4 linked regions of the Arabidopsis thaliana genome follow. The protein of the gene in region 4 interacts with the protein of the main gene of each other region in a pairwise test. Each region holds a gene or a part of one and is shown on either strand. Other genes may lie near its edges. The genes, in order: AT4G12000, NRAMP3, AT5G42420 and AT5G19130.

Evidence for each region.
Region 1: the proteins of AT5G19130 (region 4) and AT4G12000 interact in a protein complementation assay, tested with the Arabidopsis thaliana proteins (one large-scale study listed by BioGRID).
Region 2: the proteins of AT5G19130 (region 4) and NRAMP3 interact in a protein complementation assay, tested with the Arabidopsis thaliana proteins (one large-scale study listed by BioGRID).
Region 3: the proteins of AT5G19130 (region 4) and AT5G42420 interact in a protein complementation assay, tested with the Arabidopsis thaliana proteins (one large-scale study listed by BioGRID).

Annotation. Positions count from the first base shown.
Region 1 is NC_003075.7:7,192,004-7,197,060, reverse strand, and holds AT4G12000 (SNARE associated Golgi protein family), read left to right. Parts: upstream 1-1,844; 5' UTR 1,845-2,118; coding exon 2,119-2,397; intron 2,398-2,720; coding exon 2,721-2,957; intron 2,958-3,036; coding exon 3,037-3,254; intron 3,255-3,347; coding exon 3,348-3,534; 3' UTR 3,535-4,528; downstream 4,529-5,057. Other genes in the region: AT4G12005 (uncharacterized protein), read right to left, coding at 1-170, 308-355.
Region 2 is NC_003071.7:9,855,613-9,860,415, reverse strand, and holds NRAMP3 (natural resistance-associated macrophage protein 3), read left to right. Parts: upstream 1-1,637; 5' UTR 1,638-1,850; coding exon 1,851-2,386; intron 2,387-2,827; coding exon 2,828-2,964; intron 2,965-3,056; coding exon 3,057-3,709; intron 3,710-3,790; coding exon 3,791-3,994; 3' UTR 3,995-4,267; downstream 4,268-4,803. UniProt on the Arabidopsis thaliana protein: Vacuolar metal transporter involved in intracellular metal homeostasis. Can transport iron (Fe), manganese (Mn) and cadmium (Cd). Regulates metal accumulation under Fe starvation.
Region 3 is NC_003076.8:16,967,069-16,971,045, reverse strand, and holds AT5G42420 (Nucleotide-sugar transporter family protein), read right to left. Parts: upstream 2,392-3,977; 5' UTR 2,228-2,391; coding exon 2,089-2,227; intron 2,003-2,088; coding exon 1,818-2,002; intron 1,707-1,817; coding exon 1,506-1,706; intron 1,419-1,505; coding exon 1,257-1,418; intron 1,187-1,256; coding exon 821-1,186; 3' UTR 519-820; downstream 1-518. UniProt on the Arabidopsis thaliana protein: Nucleotide-sugar transporter that transports UDP-rhamnose or UDP-galactose and UMP in a strict counter-exchange mode.
Region 4 is NC_003076.8:6,415,374-6,421,070, reverse strand, and holds AT5G19130 (GPI transamidase component family protein / Gaa1-like family protein), read left to right. Parts: upstream 1-1,958; 5' UTR 1,959-2,077; coding exon 2,078-2,199; intron 2,200-2,295; coding exon 2,296-2,387; intron 2,388-2,583; coding exon 2,584-2,683; intron 2,684-2,819; coding exon 2,820-3,627; intron 3,628-3,764; coding exon 3,765-3,898; intron 3,899-4,099; coding exon 4,100-4,943; 3' UTR 4,944-5,151; downstream 5,152-5,697. Other genes in the region: AT5G19120 (Eukaryotic aspartyl protease family protein), read right to left, coding at 5,326-5,697.

The sequences.
Region 1 (5,057 bases), on a different chromosome or scaffold from region 4:
TTGGAGCTATAAGCTAATTTCGAAATGTCGATTCCACATATGGAGCTAGAACTACACACATACATAGAAGTTAAGAGAGCACTTACCACGGTTGTCAAATCACTCAGAGTGCATTGTATGGTTGCATAAACCTCACATGTAAATCTCAAACGGCATAATGTCACCTGAAACTTCATACCAAACCAATTTTCAAAGATTAAACATATACTGGAGAAAATGATGTAACATGTCAAAGCACAGTCAATTTCTAAACAAACACTTTAATCTCAGGAGAAAGAAGAAAAACAGATTGCTTGGATCAACCAACCTCGTGGATTCTGAAACTTTGTGAATCTTGTTTCACGTTTTTTTCCATCAAATTTATAATTTTGATAAATTTGGAATCCAAATTTCAGAGTATGGCCGAAGAGAAGATGGCCGGAGAGGTTTCAAGAGATATCCATTAAAATCCAAGAGCGGTGAAAGTGAGAATAGGCGTTTTTGTGACGAGTCGAGAAGAAGAAAATTCGATCTCGGAACAGTAGAAAAGTAGCTCGCGGGAAAGATATCGGAAATGTTGCCGTTTCGGTGGTGGAAGGCATTGCGGCGATGGCGTCGTCAGATTGTGGTGACAAAGACAAATCGAAATTGAGGAAATTGGGAAATTGCGAAAACCGGGTCCACGGAGAATACGGAATGTCGACCACAGTGGATTATTGGTCGGTGAAATTAAACACGTATAATAAAATTAAAATAAAAGCTCAAAAAGTGGGAAACCCGCGACAAGCTAACCTCCTTATTTGTGGCCACGTGTATGGCCACCATCTCACTTCGTTGATGAATGTCTAGTAATGCCTAGTAAGAAACCAACATATATTATTCAATTTAAAAATATATGTATTTAATATTTTACATTAACTATAATATTTAAATAGTAATTCAGATTAATATTAATATTAATAAAATAAATAAATTCTTATCGAGACAAATTTAACGGAACGAATTTTAAAAATAATATTAATAAAAAAATTAAAATATCATTAATATATTGTTTTAATATAGTTTAAGTTTTAAATTTATTATTTTTTGATACTATCAATATTATACATATAAATCAGTCTGATTTACAAAAATTATATAAAATAAAATATATATAGTAATATAATGTTTTTAGTAACAATTAAATTATAAAATATAAATATCTCAGAAAATGATATAATTTAAAAACTTATATATAATAAATAATTTTTAATTTTAATATTTTTATTAAATATTACATGAGATGAGTTAAGAGATTACAAGACGGTTTATATTGTGGAACGGATTATAGTAGATGAGTTTGAATCAATATTTATAAATTTTTAAAATATCAGTAATATGCTGGTTTAATACGAATTAAATCCTCAAGTTTTAATTATTGTTCTTAAATTCGTGGTATATGTTACTTAATAACAATCGTAAACAAAACAAAAAAAATATTATATAAAGATAAATAATTTAAAATTTTATATTTTATATATATATATATATATTAGAAAAAAAAATTATCATGCGGTATATTACGGATTTAAAATCTGGTTTTATAATATACACCTCCCAATCAAAACAAATTTTACAACTACACCAAAATATTTGTCCCTAATTATTTTGAGACCTTAAAATCTTACAATGTAAAATTTGGTAGGGGCCTTAAATTATTATTTTTTTTCTTTCTAACAATATCCACACGCTTTTATGCCGACATGGTCCAGGTGTTTTCAAACTACATATTTTATTATTTTTCGTCAACCGTGAAATAACTATTTTATATTTCCTAGAATTTTTGGTAAACTGAATAAAAAATATAAAAAAATGCAAGTAACGACGGAAGAAATCATAAAGTAATAAGAAAATAATTTAAAAGAATGGGTACATGCGTCAAGCCATGACATTAACAAACAAACCGAAAAAAGAAAAAAACTCATCTTTCTCCAAAATCACACAAATCTTCTTTATTTGTTATTCTCAATCCTTCCTTCATCCCCAGGTTTCTTTCGATTCGTTGAGTCATTCAATTTTTCCATCACTGGGTTTTTCTCTCTGAATCCGATCGGAGAATCCAGTCGATTACTAATCTAGCGCTCTCTTTTTTTCTACTCGATGACTTATCACGAAGAAGACGATACAGTTTCTGAATTTCGAGTTAGAGTTGAAGAAGATGGAGTTGATAAATTAGGTCATTATGTTAAACTTACTGAAGATTTCGAAGTACATCGACAAGAAACAGAACAAGAATCTTCATCATCACCGTCTTCTTCTTCTTCATGTGGACAGAAACGATCTGTTTGGTTTTGGATCAAGCTTGGTCTTTTCTTCACTTTTCTAACTGCTTTGGGTCTCGCTGGTTACAAATGGCTATACCCTTTAATCATGGATAAGGTTTTCAATTTCCTCCAATGATTTCTTGTTGAATTGATCTTCTTCTGAAAGTCTTCTTCTTTATCTATTGGGTTTGATTATAGTTTCAACTACTGAATTAGATCCTTAGTGTATAAAAGAGGTTCCTTTATGATTTTGGTTCATGTGAATTGAAACTATGTATCCCTACGATTAGCTCAGTATCCAATAACCAAAGTGAGGTTTCGTTGTTGATGTTCTGTGTCTAAAATCGGTAGATTTTCGATGCTGGTGACAAATTCAGTCAGTGACATATTTGGCTCTGTTGCTGATTATGGGATTATCCATTTAACTTTTGTTTGCAGGAGCTAATCCCACTCATAAAATGGGAGATGGAGACATTTACACACCCTGTGTGCGGTATTCTTGTGTTTGCATCAGTCTCTTTATTCCCTGTGATACTTATTCCAACTACGCCGTCAATGTGGGTGGCTGGGATTACATTTGGTTATTTCTATGGCCTTCTCCTTACTCTTCCAGCTGTAGCTATTGGTGTTTCACTTCCTTACTTCATCAGCTATCTCTTCCTCAACAAAATTCAAGTATGTGTCTCGCTTAAGAACCAGTTATATTCTTAGTAACGACTACTTTGTATGTTGCTGAAATTGATGAATGTTGCAGGGTTGGTTAGAAAGATATCCAGATCAAGCTGCAATGTTGAGAGCTGCTGGTGGAGGCAGTTGGTTTCATCAGTTTCGTGCAGTTACCTTAATCCGGATTTCTCCATTTCCTTTTGCTGTATATAATTACTGCGCTGTTGCAACTCGTGTGAAGTTCGGTCCTTACATGGCTGGTTCTCTCGTAGGCATGGCGCCGGAGATTTTTGTCGCAATTTATACGTAAGTGTGGAAATGACTTACAATTTTCTTGGTAATGAATGAATGATTGATTTAGCATCCTGATAGTATTTTTGTTTGTTTTGGTGTTTGCAGAGGGATTCTTATAAGGACATTGGCAGATGCATCCACTGCGGAACAAAAGGGTCTCTCGATTCTTCAAATTGTTCTCAACATTTTTGGTTTTGTAGCAACTGTTGTGACAACTGTTCTCATCACTAAGTATGCGAAAAGACAGCTTGAAGTTATGAAGAAGGAGAAGGAAGCTTTGTTGTTACAGTAATGGAGACAACAACCTCAGAAGTTATGTCTCTGCTTATTCCCAAAGTACAGGTTTTCGTCCATGATGTGAAAGAACTCTTGATTTTTGGTCTCTGTTTTGGTTTGTTTATAGCCGAGAAATGAAAGGGTATAAAAGAAATTATAATGACTATATAAACACTAACTAAACTCTCTAACACGATTTAATCTTATTTGCGTTTTCTCAATCTTTTGTTTTTTGATGTTTGAAAAGAATGGATCAATTGAAAACTTAAGATCATTACTCCTCCTTCGTTTTCTCGTTTATATTCTCTAGTAAGTATGAACTAACTATGAAGATTGGAAATTGTCTAATTGGTAAATAGTGCAAGTGTTGTGTCAGATATTCGTAGGTGACTAGTGAAAACTTGCACTTCGAATATTATGGGCTGCATTGAGAAAAAGCCCAATATAGCTTAGATGGCCATTTAATTGTTTCTATCAAAATCAAATGCGTCTCTTTTTCGAACTATAATGGTCAAGAGTTATTTGTAGCCTACGAGTACGACATTGCTATGCGTTCGACATATTAAATGGTGGAATTGAAGAAGAAACCTTAGCTATGATTCATCACAATATGTATGATCTATATTTTTTCAATTTGAAATAATGGAGTTATTCTAGACCAAATCGAATCTTTTGTTAAATGGATTTCTACTAAAATTAATCAAAGACTGTTTTAATTACCATTTTTTTTTTTTTGCGGTTTGTGAAACCAGTGTGAATCTGCCCAAGTGAAGAGTGCGAGAGATAAGAGGAGAAGAACTATATGGAGAGTTCTTGGGGATTTGAAGCTGCGGTTTTTCTAGTATCGGATTTGGACATCTATATTCTGCTTGAAAATTCACACTAGAAAATGAAGTGCTTCTGCGAGTCATTTGTCTCTTGCATAAGATACAAAGTGGAATTGAAATAACTTTATGTGAAATATATATAATTCTAAAATATGAAGCTAAATATAAACCAATTTTCTACATAAGCTTTTTCAAATTTTAAAGATATACTTACAAGAATCGATCAATAATTGATTCAGTTTTTTTATTTTTTTTTATTTTTATACTGGTGCATTTGAAGCTCTCCTAAGTCCTATAACACAACAAATATGTTCAACTACTCTCATCCCGAAATAAATGTTGTCTTAATTCCCTTCAAAAATGCTTTTGGTCCAAAACCCAATATCCTTTGAAACACTTTTGTCTAAAAGTATATGTAAAGCCATTTACATTTTGTCCTACCTATGAACCACAAAATTAAATATTTGTCTTATTCTCTAAATATTTCTTTTAGATTAAAGTATGTGTATTCAATCAGCAGTAAAAAAGTTACATGTCAAGACTTAATGTAGTTTGCATTTTCTGAATATTCTGGTTTGAATTAAACTATATATGCTTCTGACTCGGTACCACTTTCAACAGTCTATCTATGTGTCTTTTTCATGCGAATAAAATCCATTGCTCATTAATGGTAATTTGTCATCTGGTGAAACACATGCTTTTCTATAGGAAA
Region 2 (4,803 bases), on a different chromosome or scaffold from region 4:
ATTAGAAAAAAAAATTTCGAATTAAATATTTGATATTTAACAATTTCCCTAAAATCTCTCTACATTAACTACACGATTGGTTACTAAAATAAAACTTTCAAAATATTTAATATCATTTAATTACTACAAAATTATCATTATTGATATTGTTTTTCTGCATGACTATTACAATTCAATTATAATCATCAAACCGTAGAGATATTTGATAGCATTTAATTACTAGATAATTTTAAAAATAAATGATTCATAAACATATGATAAATAAGATCAACATTAATAAAATAAAACGGGACGGGTTGGCGGAACGGGTTTGGCAGGACGTTACTTAATAACAATTCTTAACTAGAAAATAAAAATATTTTATAGATAGTTACATAGATAGTTACAAATTGTAAACTTTTATATATACTAATTTTAAAGTATAAATTGTCTCCGCGGTATACCGCGGGTGAAAATCTAGTATATACATATTTTAATAAGATATCTTTTATTATCATTTAATGAAAACATTAAATATGTACTTGTTTTTTGTTTCTCTTATAATTCAGGTACTTTGAACAATTAAATAGATAATTTAGCACAAAAGGTATACTATATCCATATAACATTATATTTGTAATCTATGTGCCATCCATTTCTAAACTTTGTAACTTTAACATAGTTGTTGACAATAGAAGTTGCACTAAAAGATTGTTTTTTATAATTATGTGTAAAGAATAATTTACAAAAAATTGGTGAAAGGATGGATATCTTTTGCAAATTTACCAAGAAAAAAAAAAGAAGAGAATATCGGAGGTGAGAGACGTGTATCCACGAGCCAACCATGTTTAATATCAGGCTTGGTTCCCACTATTGCATGACATGGCATCATCCCCATGGTTCTTTCGATCTCGCCAGGTCATCAACCTAAGTGGACCATTTATTTCGCATGATACACACCACCTGTTTATTTCTTTATTTGCTTTTTTATTCCCTATACATGCTTTTTGATTTTGATATATACTGTTCGAGGAAACAATACTCCTAAATAGTATAGAAATATTTTAAGAAGACAGAAATATAAATAATTATATTAAAAATCTTAACATTAGTTACAATATATTAATAAATTCAACAAACAGTTTATATATAGTTTATTCATGTTTGAAGCAAAACAAAGTTTAAAAACAAATATTTTCGCATGTTACTTTATCACAAAAAATGATCTAATTATACTAAAAATGATAAATTTATCGAATCTATTTAATATTTTGAAAAGGATTCTATTTACACTATACATATCTATGGACTACGATAGACATTTTTATTTTTAACACACGAGGCCACAAACGAAGGTATACGTGATGCATGAACACTGTGAAGTGTGAAGCTTCCTATATAATCTACATGTTGATGAACGCTCGATAAAATTATAAACCTAATTATTAGTCCAAAGAAATTCTACAAAAATTCTCTATTTAAAAAAAAAAAGATAGTGAAAAAATGTGTCCGTAAGTAAATAAGCGAATTAAATGTAAAATCTGTCCCAGAAAAACAAACAAAACTAAACTAGAAAAGAGAAATTTGAATTTACTTTTCCAAATTCCATTTACACATCAAAATTTTATTTATTTGTTTATGAGTGATTATCCGAATTACCTCCACCAAATAAAACCCTATCTTATTTCCCCCTAAATTATTAGAAAAATATAAAGTGATTAAGATTCTTTTGAAAGTTTGTGTTTATACTTTATCTTGTACTAAGAGAAACAGAACTTCCCTATAAAAAGCAAAAGCAAGTAAGAATAACGTGTTAAACTAAAACCTCGAAAACAACAAAACCCGAAACTGAAACAGAGAATCCAAAAAAAATGCCACAACTCGAGAACAACGAGCCACTTCTAATCAACGAGGAAGAAGAAGAAGAAACAGCGTACGATGAAACAGAGAAGGTACATATCGTAAGAAACGAAGAGGAGGACGATCTAGAACACGGCGTCGGATGCGGCGGCGCACCACCGTTCTCATGGAAGAAGCTATGGTTATTCACCGGACCTGGGTTTTTAATGAGCATTGCGTTTTTAGATCCAGGGAATCTCGAAGGAGATCTTCAAGCCGGTGCGGTTGCTGGGTACTCTTTGTTATGGCTTCTCATGTGGGCAACAGCAATGGGTCTTTTGGTTCAGCTTTTGTCGGCTAGGCTTGGTGTTGCGACAGGTCGTCACTTAGCTGAGCTTTGTCGTGATGAGTATCCTACTTGGGCAAGAATGGTTTTGTGGGTTATGGCTGAATTGGCTTTGATTGGATCTGATATTCAAGAAGTTATTGGTAGTGCTATTGCTATCAAGATTTTGAGTAATGGGATTTTGCCTCTTTGGGCTGGTGTTGTTATTACTGCTCTTGATTGGTAAATTCTCAATTTTTAGACATGTGTCTTCTTGTGTTATTGTTTCATTTGTCTGTGTTTGGTCCCAGTTTTGTCTTTTTGGTTTATGGTTCTAATAGCAGTTTAGCTAATCTAATCTATGGATTGTTTGAATTTGGTGTTAGTTAACCATTAGCTGTGTTAATTTCATCTTTACACATGAATTTTTGTCACTATGTGCTCATTTGGTCATTGATTCATATGTGTGTTTTGCTCAAAGTTTTGGTCTTTTTGTTGGAATCAGGAAACTCTAGTGAGTGTTTATGGTTCTAATTGTAATTTAGCTAATCTATTCTATGGATTGCTCAAATTATTATGTGTTAATTGATTAGCTGTGTTAATGTCTCGTGGAATTTCATCTTTCGGTGTGAGTTTTTGGTGTTATGTATCTCATTGATTCATATGTATGTGTTTTGGTCACAGTTTCGTCTTCTTGTTTCTTGAGAACTACGGAATAAGGAAGCTCGAGGCTGTGTTTGCAGTTCTTATCGCTACAATGGGAGTCTCATTCGCTTGGATGTTTGGTCAAGCTAAGCCAAGTGGCTCTGAGCTTCTCATTGGTTAGGCTTTCTTTCTTCTCTTTATCATTTTCTTAATGGAACAGTCTTTTAACTTTTTAAGTTCTGAAGAAGTTAGATTTCTCTTGTTGCAGGGATTTTGGTACCGAAACTGAGTTCAAGAACGATACAGAAAGCAGTTGGAGTTGTGGGTTGCATTATAATGCCACACAATGTGTTTCTTCACTCAGCTCTTGTTCAATCTAGAGAAGTCGATAAACGACAGAAATACCGAGTCCAAGAAGCGCTAAACTACTACACAATAGAATCCACAATTGCTCTTTTCATCTCCTTTTTGATCAATCTGTTTGTCACAACTGTTTTCGCCAAAGGGTTTTATAATACTGACCTCGCCAATAGCATCGGTTTGGTTAACGCGGGACAGTATCTTCAGGAGAAATATGGAGGCGGTGTGTTCCCGATACTATACATTTGGGCGATCGGGCTATTAGCTGCTGGCCAAAGCAGCACTATTACCGGTACATATGCGGGACAGTTCATAATGGGCGGGTTTCTTAATTTCAAAATGAAGAAATGGTTGAGAGCTTTGATCACACGAAGCTGCGCTATCATTCCAACTATTATCGTTGCGCTAGTGTTTGATTCATCGGAAGCTACACTCGATGTCTTAAACGAGTGGCTTAACGTGCTTCAGTCCATTCAAATCCCCTTTGCACTCATTCCCTTACTTTGTTTGGTCTCCAAGGAACAAATCATGGGTAGCTTCAAGATTGGTCCTTTGTACAAGGTTTGTCAATTTCGTTCAAACTCTTTTACTAACATTCTTTAAAGATCGCTTTATTAAGCTCGATCTCACCTTGTTGTGCAGACAATCGCGTGGCTTGTTGCTGCGCTCGTGATAATGATCAACGGTTATCTTTTGTTGGAGTTCTTCTCCAATGAGGTTAGTGGCATAGTCTATACCGGTTTTGTGACACTGTTCACAGCTTCTTATGGTGCATTCATCCTCTACCTCATTGCTCGTGGCATCACTTTCACTCCTTGGCCGTTCAAAGCGGAGTCTAGTCATTGAGACTGGACCAAACAAGACAGTGTAAGCGTAGTAGCTATGTCTTGTAATCCTTAGGATCATGAGTTCTTAGCTTTCTCTCTTGTATTATATGTGTTGTTGTTATAAAGCAGCTCTGGTTTTGTTGAAGAAGGCTCTTCTATGTATCAGTAGTTAGGTCCCAGAGACGAGAATTAATAAGAATATGTTCACATCTAAACCAATGTTGACACAGATCAAAAGAAACTTTGGGGAACATTCCCAAAAGTGTACATTTAATCGTCCGATCAGAGTTTCACAGTTTCAAGGATTCTCAAATACTTTAAAGTACATATTGTGGATATAGTCAGGGCAAATTCGATACACAAGGTAAAATGATGGAACCAAAATTTCCATAGATAAACACAAAATCTACTTGTTCTAATATGGTATATTATTAAGGGCTTTGTCCCGATCTATTACATTGGCATCTATGTTTTTGTTAATGTATTTTGGGAAGTGCAGTCTTGCTCATCTTGGCATTCATTGCCTCTTTGTCTTCCCTCTTGTTTGGAGTGGTTTGTTTTGGGTACAAACCAACGTCCCACATTTGAAGTTTAGAAAATAGTTTCCCATATATAAGCAAGTTCAACTTCAACTAGTAAGAGACATTTTGGGAAGGAGATCAATAACAAATCCTTGCGGATTTGAGCATGTAGATTCAAAAAGGACAATATTATACTAAAGGGGAGTTGGAATGGGCTTGGAAAGCCTAATAAATGGTGTTGAACGTGGGTTGAAAAAAATGGACCTAGGGCTTGGACTGTATAATCGGTGTGGGAGAAGCCTACCAT
Region 3 (3,977 bases), about 11 Mb from region 4:
AAAAAATGGCCAAATTAACCGTGAACTCTTGAAATGGTCGTTTTATACCTCAACAAAAAGTTGACTTCTAATTTAACCTATAATTTATCGTTGACTTCTAATTTAACCTATAATTTGTCGTTGACCCGGCCAAATAGACTCACCGTTAACACTCCTTAACAGCGCTCCTAACAGCCGTTACAAAACATGGCCTAACAGCCGTTATTGTTGGTTTAAGGACAAAAACAGTTGTTAGTTACGCTGTTAGGAGAGCTGTTAAGAAGTGTTAATGGTGAGTCGATTTGGCCGGGTCAACGATAACTTATAGGTTAAATTAGAAGTCAACTTTTTGTTGAGGTATAAAACGGCCATTTCAAAAATTCACGGTTAATTTGGCCACTTTTTGAAAGTTCAGGTATTAAATAACATTTTTCCCCTTCTCATTTACAATTTTCACATTACTTGGGAGCATATGAATGTTTTTATCAGAAGTTCTTTTAAGTCTTCTCCAGTATTCTTGTTTTCACTATCCATATGAATGTTTTATCAAATGGAATATACTCTACATTTGATGTCATATTCTATAAGATAAATAAAGGAATATACTCTTTGAGTGCTACGTAAAACAAGAACATGTGGTCATTGAAGTTATTTCCATGGAATTGGGTAAAAAGATATAAATAACACAAAACATTTGTATAACCAAGGAAACTTTAGATCGAAGCCTAGACACTAATCTCCGAGGATCCGATCTCTTGGTTTAGATAACACAAAACATACAAAAATTATAACAGAACAAATTGTACCTGAAGACTATGTTTCTTTCTCTATCCATCTGTCTCTAATCTTTTGTGCGGCCAAGTTCAACATCTTTTGATTGTGTAGTTTCTACACCTTCCTTCAAAAGTTCAAACTCTTCCTCTGTTAAGCTATGTTTCACACTGTTTAAAGCCTTTGCTGCAATAATCGACTGTTTCTCCAATTCCATTGCCCAACTATAGATTACCATCCCAACAATCGCAACAATCATCCCCGCTACGTTTTTGAAAGTCATTGCAGAATCAAATAGGAGCCATCCAAGCGTGAGGATACAGACGGTTTTCATGTGACCAATAACTTGGAACGATACTGCTGAAAACCGCCCGATGCAAAGGTACTGGCTTATGTTGCAGAACACAGCTAGACCACATGAGAGAAGAATGAATAGCTGCAAATTGTAGAACATTAGCCAATGATAACATAACAATACTAGCAGAGCCATGAAGAGAGATACTTACAAAGCAACCGGAAGACATATTATACTTCATAATGAACTTCCCACTAAGAAGATAATCAACTAAAGGACCGACAACAAGAAGCGAAAAAGCTTGAATCGGCGCTGTTTTACTCAACAACTCAAAGGACCCAATTGAATATTTCTTCTGTAGAGAACCTATTAACTAAGCAACACAGAAGGAAAAAACACCAATTGATCAGATTTGAATTCCACAAGCTTCAAAACCAAATCACCAAACAAAAAGACTTACAATTTGCTGCAAGGATGACGAGAAAATCGCAACACAAGCACAGATAAAACCTTTGGCATTAACTTTAACATCAGTCACAGTACAAATACCAACACCAACAACAACAACCACAACAGATATTTTCACTTCTCTTGAGTATCTCTTGCTATGTAGAATCCATTCCATTACACATACCACAGGAATCATGCTCAGCTTCGAGATCTAATCAACACAAAAAAATGTGAATCCACTAAACCAAAATCAAAGTCTATATATGCTCAAATCAAAGCAATTTGATTCTATATGCTCAAGATCGAGATCGAGATGAATTACTTGGTAGAAGCCAACGGAATTGAGCATGAGACTGAAGTTCATAGCAGCAATAGAGACATTAGCGACAATGGAGAACCAAATAAGCTCCCACATAGGTACATGCTTCGAAGCAGAGAATCCGGTAGCGTTTGATACCATACCGACCAATGCGGTTAAAGCGAAGTGGAAACCGGTGAGAGTTGTAGCTGAGAAAACAGAGATCGGAAAAATCATCAGATCTCAAAAGCGAAATTGATTAAAAAGAGTGAGAGATCGGAGGAAGAAGACGAACCGAAACTAAATGCGAATCCAGAAGAGGACATAAGTTGTTTATTCGCCATGATGATTCCAACGGAGCTTATCACATTCATTGCCCAAGCTCCCATATCGGAGACTGCTGAAGGAGATTTTCTCTCATTCTCCGCCGCCATCTCTGGTCAACTGTCACCACCACCACCGTAGAAGGAGATTTCCGGTGATGCGATCTCGGAGATAGAGAGATAGAGAGAGAAAGAGAGATTCACGCTTTGTTGGAGGCTCACCTTCTGAGAGATTCTCTTTTCTCTCTTTCACGTTGAGAAAAATATCTGACAAATCTCAAATCTGAAATAAATACTTTTAAAAAGGAAGTTGTGTAAGTAGATTTAGTTTTTACTTTACCCGCATCAAAATTCATCATTACAATTACATTAAGAAAATCATTGATTATGTTTTTTTTTTGGACAAGAAAATAATTGATTATGTAGTGACAAAAGTTGTAGATGAGTATTATGACAAAATTGATAATCGAATTTTTTTAGTTGTTGCAAATTTTGATTTTAACGATTTTTTGTAATGAGATTTGAGATTTTCTGTAAATTAAATCTTTAAAAAATATTTCGTGATTTGAAGATTTTCAATTTATTTATTTATGACTAAAGAAACTCTCAATTAGTGGATTAGACAAATAAATCTTGAATTTTGCATTGAATTGACTAAATTATTCACAAACCTTAATCAAAATTATCTGTTGATTTTTTTTATTAACTCTATACAATTTAATTTACAACAAATGTAAATGTCCAAAAATGATATCGTATTTGACACATATATATGGATAAAATAATGTAAACATATTCTAAAATAAATATCATAAGATTGTGTTATGTAAATAATATAATTACAAATATTTGTTTATTTGCATAATTTCCAAATATTTTTAATATTCTTTGAACTTTTTGTGTCACATAATAAATTCTATAACTATGAAACAAACCAACTGTGTGAGAGTACTTTTTAGCTAATATTTTGAATAAAACTATTATTTTCATAAAAACCAATACATATTTATCGAACTGATAATATTATTTTCCCTCTCTTTTTTGTATATGAATATTTTTAAATTTTTCACCATGCATCATTTCTAAGGAAAGTAGGAATAATTAATATGTTTATAATTTACTATATATAAAAAACAACACAAATAAAAGAAAATGACACAAATATATAGTAGTGCTTGTTGACCAGTAACTTAGGCAGATTATGAGGCGAAGGGAACCTCTTTTCATGCTGCCGTTATTTTTGCATTACGCAAAGTCAAAGTCAAAGTCTGTTGGTAACTTTTTGTTTAAGCAGCCAATCCATAAAAGTAAGTCATAACTTTGCATTTTCTTCATGAACTAGTGGAGATCACATTAAAATATTTCGTTTTTTCATGTAAGAAGCATGAATATTTACGATAATGTAACTGATAAATAAAAAGATGACTGGAGAAGTTTTTTTAAAATAATAATAATTAAAGAACATAAATCGATAATACAAAAACAAAACGGAAAGATGAAAAGGAATTATCGTAGAGGTGAGACATTATCAATTTTCTTAATTCCTTAGATATCCAAAAATACAACTATAATATTTTTTCAGACTTATATAAGAATAACTATAGAAGCTTACAACCAAATGAGTTATTAGATCAAATGGTTTCATCAATTCAATGAGTTGAGTTGTAAACTTATAATGAGTTAACATATTAAATATTAATGAGTCTAAGCAGAACTTCTATACTGATTAAATATTATTAATCTTTTCCAAAAAAATATAAAAATATATATACATATATAAACCACACTTCAAAAGAAAATTTAGATTTTCTCGAGAGTTAGTTTTGTAAGTTTTTTGGTGAACATAAGAAAACATTATCTT
Region 4 (5,697 bases):
TTATGTTTTTTTTTATAATAGATGTAAATTTTAACATGCACACTTTGAGAAAATTGTTTTTAAAACTTTGTTAAACAAAATAACTGATTTATGTTTTATCCGACCCATGTAAAATCGTTTTTATCGGTCGAATCAAACAGAACAAAAAAAATTCCTTTTTCGCGGTTACTGTAGATTAAACTGCATATATTAAATACCATAACTTAACTGCTTTAGCTATTGAACCACGTCTATGGATGATTTTAGATTTTGATTATCATGTATATATTATGTTTTTGACTTTTCTATAGAATTTAAACTATATTAAAATCATATACACAAAAAAATAAAACGCAATATTGATCAATAATATAACGTAAATTGAATAGCAAAACAGTGAATGGCATATTTGTATTGATATTATAAACGTCATTATCATTTTATTAAATTGTAAAATAAAATACAGCCACTAGTTTGTATTATTTACTTATTTATTCAAAATACAATCGTAGAAAACAGAAAGAAAGACCGAGCAAAGCCAACCATGGGCCTGGGAGTGGGAACTACAAAAGCTGAAAACGACTTTGATATTGTTTTGCTTATTATCTTTTACAAATATTATTTCAAAGAAAATTATCTCATTTGAACATGACATATAGAAGATTTTTTTGTTGCCACATACCATTATCCAAACATAATGAATGGTATTAACTATTTATATATACATTTTTGCAGCCACTTTATGAAATAAATTTTAAAGTTGGGATTTATTTACAGCGGCTGTCACTGGCATTTAATAATTGTTTTTGATAATTAGAAAGAAAATCTTCTAATTAAATATTTGACATTTAACAATCTTCCCAAAATCTCTCTACCTTAACTACACGATTAATTACTAAAATAAAACTTCTAAAATATTTAATATCATTTAATTACTACAAAATTATCATTTTTGATATTTTTTCTCCATGATTATAATCATCAAACCGTATAGATATTTGATAGCATTTAATTACTATAAAATTACAAAATATTTAGACAATAATTCATAAACATATCATAAATAAGATCAACATTAATAAAATAAATGAGTTTTTTTTAGAGGACGGGTTGGCGAGACGGGTTTGGCAGGACGTTACTTAATAAAAATTGTAAACTATACAATAAAAACATTTTATAAATAGATACAATTTACAAACTTTTATATATATATTAATTTAAAAAAATAAATTGTTTTCACGGTATACCGCGGGTAAAAATCTAGTTACGTTATATATCTATATTTCATATATTTCTCTAAGAAAGAATCCTCTAGAAAATGTTTGTTGAAAAATGATTTCTTCATATCAAAACTATGATATTCTCGCGTTTTAAAAGCAATATGATGTATATGTGGTCGATCTAGAGGCTTCAGTATCATTCAAATGAACAAATTTGTTATTGGACCATCTCAATCACCTAAGCTTCGATCATCTCTAATCTCTATGCATCCCCACAAACACTTCCTATGCAGCTGTATATATCTTTTTTTTTCTTTTTTCTTGATATTCTTTTTTGGTTTCGGATCATATCATGACTTTTCATTATTTCTTTTGGCAGTTTCTCTTCTTTTTTGCTTTTCTTTGATGCGATAATATGGACTGCACTGTATAGCCCACTATTTCATGTTCCCATCTTGCTATGATGTAATAGCAAAAATACCATATACTGGTCATTTATAATAATAAATATTTAAAAAAATCTATAACAGTCAATGGATAATAACATAATTGTAAAAGTGTTTCTTCATTTTAAAATAAGATACAAATTAAGAACACTGATATTATCCATTTTATTTTTAAAATTAAGAACAAATATAAATATACTTTTGTAATCAAAATAACAATTATATTTGGTATGTAAGAAAATTCTGCACCATCTTAATCTGACTTTAAGCCCATCACCCAAATAAAAGTCCATTACAAAGCCTTCTAAATTTAAGCCCACCCACCCTATTCGGGCTGACCCGACTTGACCGTCGTCTACAATTCCCAAGCCACGGAGATCACAGTTCGTCGTAGGTTCGAATCTGCCGAAATTGATCGAAGATCTGTGAATCATGGCAGCGGTGAACCGGGATAATGAAGAGGAAGTGAAGACCGATGATGGATCTCCTAAAATCAAACCGAGACCAATCGTTCGGCTCGGAATCTTCCTCATCGCTCACAGTCCTGTTTTCAGGTAAATCTTCAACCATAATTTTCTCTTCTACTCCACTAGTTTCTATGTTTTGATTCTTTCTCTTTTGGTTCATTGATGATCTGATTGTGTTTGTAGTGTGGTTTTCTCTGCTGCTGGGGTTTTGGCGCTGCTGCTTTTGCCTCTACTGGCAAAGAACACTTACATCTCCGAGAATGCTCTAATGCCAGGTTTTGTTACATACCTTAGAATTCAATTAAAGTCCACATTTGGATACTGTACATGTTAACCTGGAATTAGTGTTCTATACGATTGGAATCTGTAGAAGGGTTTAAAACTGTTGAGTCATGTGAGTTTATGGCTTGCCAACTTTGAATGCGTTGTTGTTTGGTGTTTTACACTTTCTATTTTGACTCTAATCCTCAGGCTCTGCACGGTCTATGCTCTCTAATCGAGATGTTTCTGATGGAAGCAAACTGGTGAAGGACATAAAGAACTTTAGGTTGAATCATGAAGGCCAGGGTGTGTATGTCTTTTCTTCCCTCAGTTTTCGCATGAAATAGAGCTTTCTCCTACGTTATGAAGAATTTTACTTGTCCTTCTGTTTTGGTCCTAGCCCAAGTAACTTAATGTTTCTCCATTTGTGTGATTTTTCTTTCTAGTGAAGTCCAAAAGCTCATTGGAAAATACATGTCAGATATGGGTGCAGAAGTTTCTTATCAAAAGTTCCATCCTGAAGGGAATCAATTTCACCCCCTGCACTTTTTCTCCGGTCCAGATTCATATACATTGCTGGAGAATGTCAGTTGTGCTTCTTATGGGGTCAATGTTGCGGGGATTATAAGAGCCCCTCGTGGTGATGGAAAAGAGTCTATTGTGCTGGTTACTCCCTATGATTTTATAAATGGTGGAGACTATGAGGATTTGTCTTTAGGAATTGTCAGTTCTCTTTTTTCCTTGCTCTCTAGAGTTACCTGGCTTTCCAAAGACATAATATGGCTTGTCGCTGATTCTCGTTATGGAGACTATAGGCCTGTTGCTGCGTGGTTAACTGAATACCACTCACCTTCATTTAAGGTCTCGGATCTTCTGAAGTGTGACGAGCAAAATACAGCTGATAACTTCAGACGAGCTGGAACAATGGCTGCTGCTTTGGTTTTGAAGGTTGATGGTAGAAGTGAAAAGTTTGAGGACACACTAAGTATCTATGCAGAGGCATCTAATGGGCAGATGCCAAATCTCGACCTCATCAATGTTGTAAATTACTTAGCGGTGCACAGGCAGGGGTTTTATGTCAAGGTTGAGAAGGTTGTATCTTTACTTTCCTCTAGTTGGCTAAAGATTTTTGGGGAAATATTTGAAGCTGTTGGGAAATTGGCGCATATGTTAAATCCGGACTGGAATTTTGGTATCCCAGCTGCAGACTATCTTGAAGGCAGTGCTACCCTTGCAAGTTCACTGTACTCCCAGGTAAAATGTACAACTGATCTGTCCTTAATTAAGTTCTTGGCATCTTGTGGTTGCAGTCACACTGATACATTTTAACTAGGAAAGACCTTGAAAGCTGACAGAAAATGTTTCTTTCTTTTGTTATTCATTCTCATCAGGCCCTTGGTATCCCAACTGGTCCCCATGGAGCTTTCCGCGATTATCAAGTTGATGCTATAACTTTGAAAGTTTCACCTAGATTTCCTCCTGACAGTAAGACAAGACAACACGATTTCTTTCTACGAGGTGCCCGGTGAGTTTTTGTTTTTATATTTTCATTCGTTCCCATTTTATACCGTTTACCTACCTCTGCTAGTGTATGTGCATTTTGTAATGCTAAAGTACTACAATATATCATTTATGCTACAGTGGAATTTAAGAGTTTTAATGTTTTCTACTCATTGACTCTGTATGAGTGTTCGATGATAACTCTGTGCTTTCTCTTTAAACGCAGGTTACTGGAAGGAACTATAAGATCAGTGAACAACCTCCTTGAGAAGTTCCATCAATCGTTTTTCCTTTACATGTTAACTTCGCCAAGCAAATTTATCTCTGTAGGAGTCTACATGATTGCCTTTGCTCTTCTTGTTGCCCCTCTTCCAATGGTCGCAGCCTCTTTATACATCGATGGCTGTAAATCTCTTACCAATTCCACTCATAACCCAACCGAAAACTTCAAGTCTTGGAAATGGCTAGATGCAGCGAAACAGGTCTTTACTTTGCACTTGTTGGGTTTCATTGTCACGCTGCTACCTTATTTCATCTGTCAAGTACCGGGCCAACATTCTCCAACAAACCGCTCCATCATGTGGGGCACTACCTCTTCGTCGCTTCTCCTTATAACCTTTGTCACAATGCCTGGTTGCTCTCCGTTCTCCTCTCGACTCCATGGAACCAACTGGGCCATCTTGAAATCAGTGACCATCTCAGCTGCCTTCATCGGCCTATGCCTCATGTCCATAATCAATTTTGCCACCGCAGAGATTGGAGCGTTGCTACTAGTGCCAACGTGTCTTATGGCTCAGCCTATAAAACCCGCTTTGAGATCCAGACGCCTTAAGAGCCTGTTGGGTGCGTTTTGCAGTATTGTATTGCTGACAATCGGGTTCCCGGTCATGTTTTTTGCAATCTCTAAAGGGTTGCTTGGAGAAGGCCTCGTAGGGTTGAGTCTTGGAGGAGAGTTTTGGACATGGTTAGAGTCGCTTTGGGCGTGGAAGAGTGCAACATATCTATACATAGGTATGGTTCATCTTCCTTGCTGGCTCCTTTGCCTCTGCATCTTGTTTCATCCTTCTTAATTCTTATTTTACGTCCCAATCTCCATACAAGGAAGGTCACAGTTATTTCCTTTACTTCGGTGACAGTTGTCCACACTTGTTGGAATTTGTCATATGTTCTAGTTGTCGCATGGTAATTAGCAGTTAGAGGTCTGATGTATCGTTAGAAAACTAAAAATGCGATGAATGAGTGAAGTTTCTGTTTTTTGTATTGATTTTTAGTTTTAAGCACTGTATTTTTACTTCATTTAAGTAATAGCTGTTTCTTAAATTAGATCTATTAGTTGTACAAATGCATGATTGCTTGTAGCAGGTATTGTAAGAAAAGAGTACACTCAAAAGAGATCAAAATTGAGGATATCTACCAGATAATTAGAAGGTTACAATTACAAAGGTTTCTGTATTACAACGAAGTTGAATCAGAGCGTGTTCTTTGTCCAAAGCCCATCATTGAGTTACCCAAATCAAAGTCCAATATAAAGCCTTCTAATTGTAGCCCACCCATTACAATCGGGTTGACTCGACTTGACCCGCCGTCAACAATCCCCGAGCATCGGACTCCACCACCAACATCCACCATCAGATTCTTCCCATGAATCCTCCACCGCACCATCTCACTCTGCAACGCTAGATCTACCGCCGGAAAATCTACGTCACTAGTGAAGCAGAGCCCAAACGGTGCGACAGGAGGCACCGATGTAGCTTCACCCGCAGCTTTGGCGTAAGCTTCCGCGAACACCTTGTAGATCGAGCTCTCTAAAATCGTGTAAGGAAC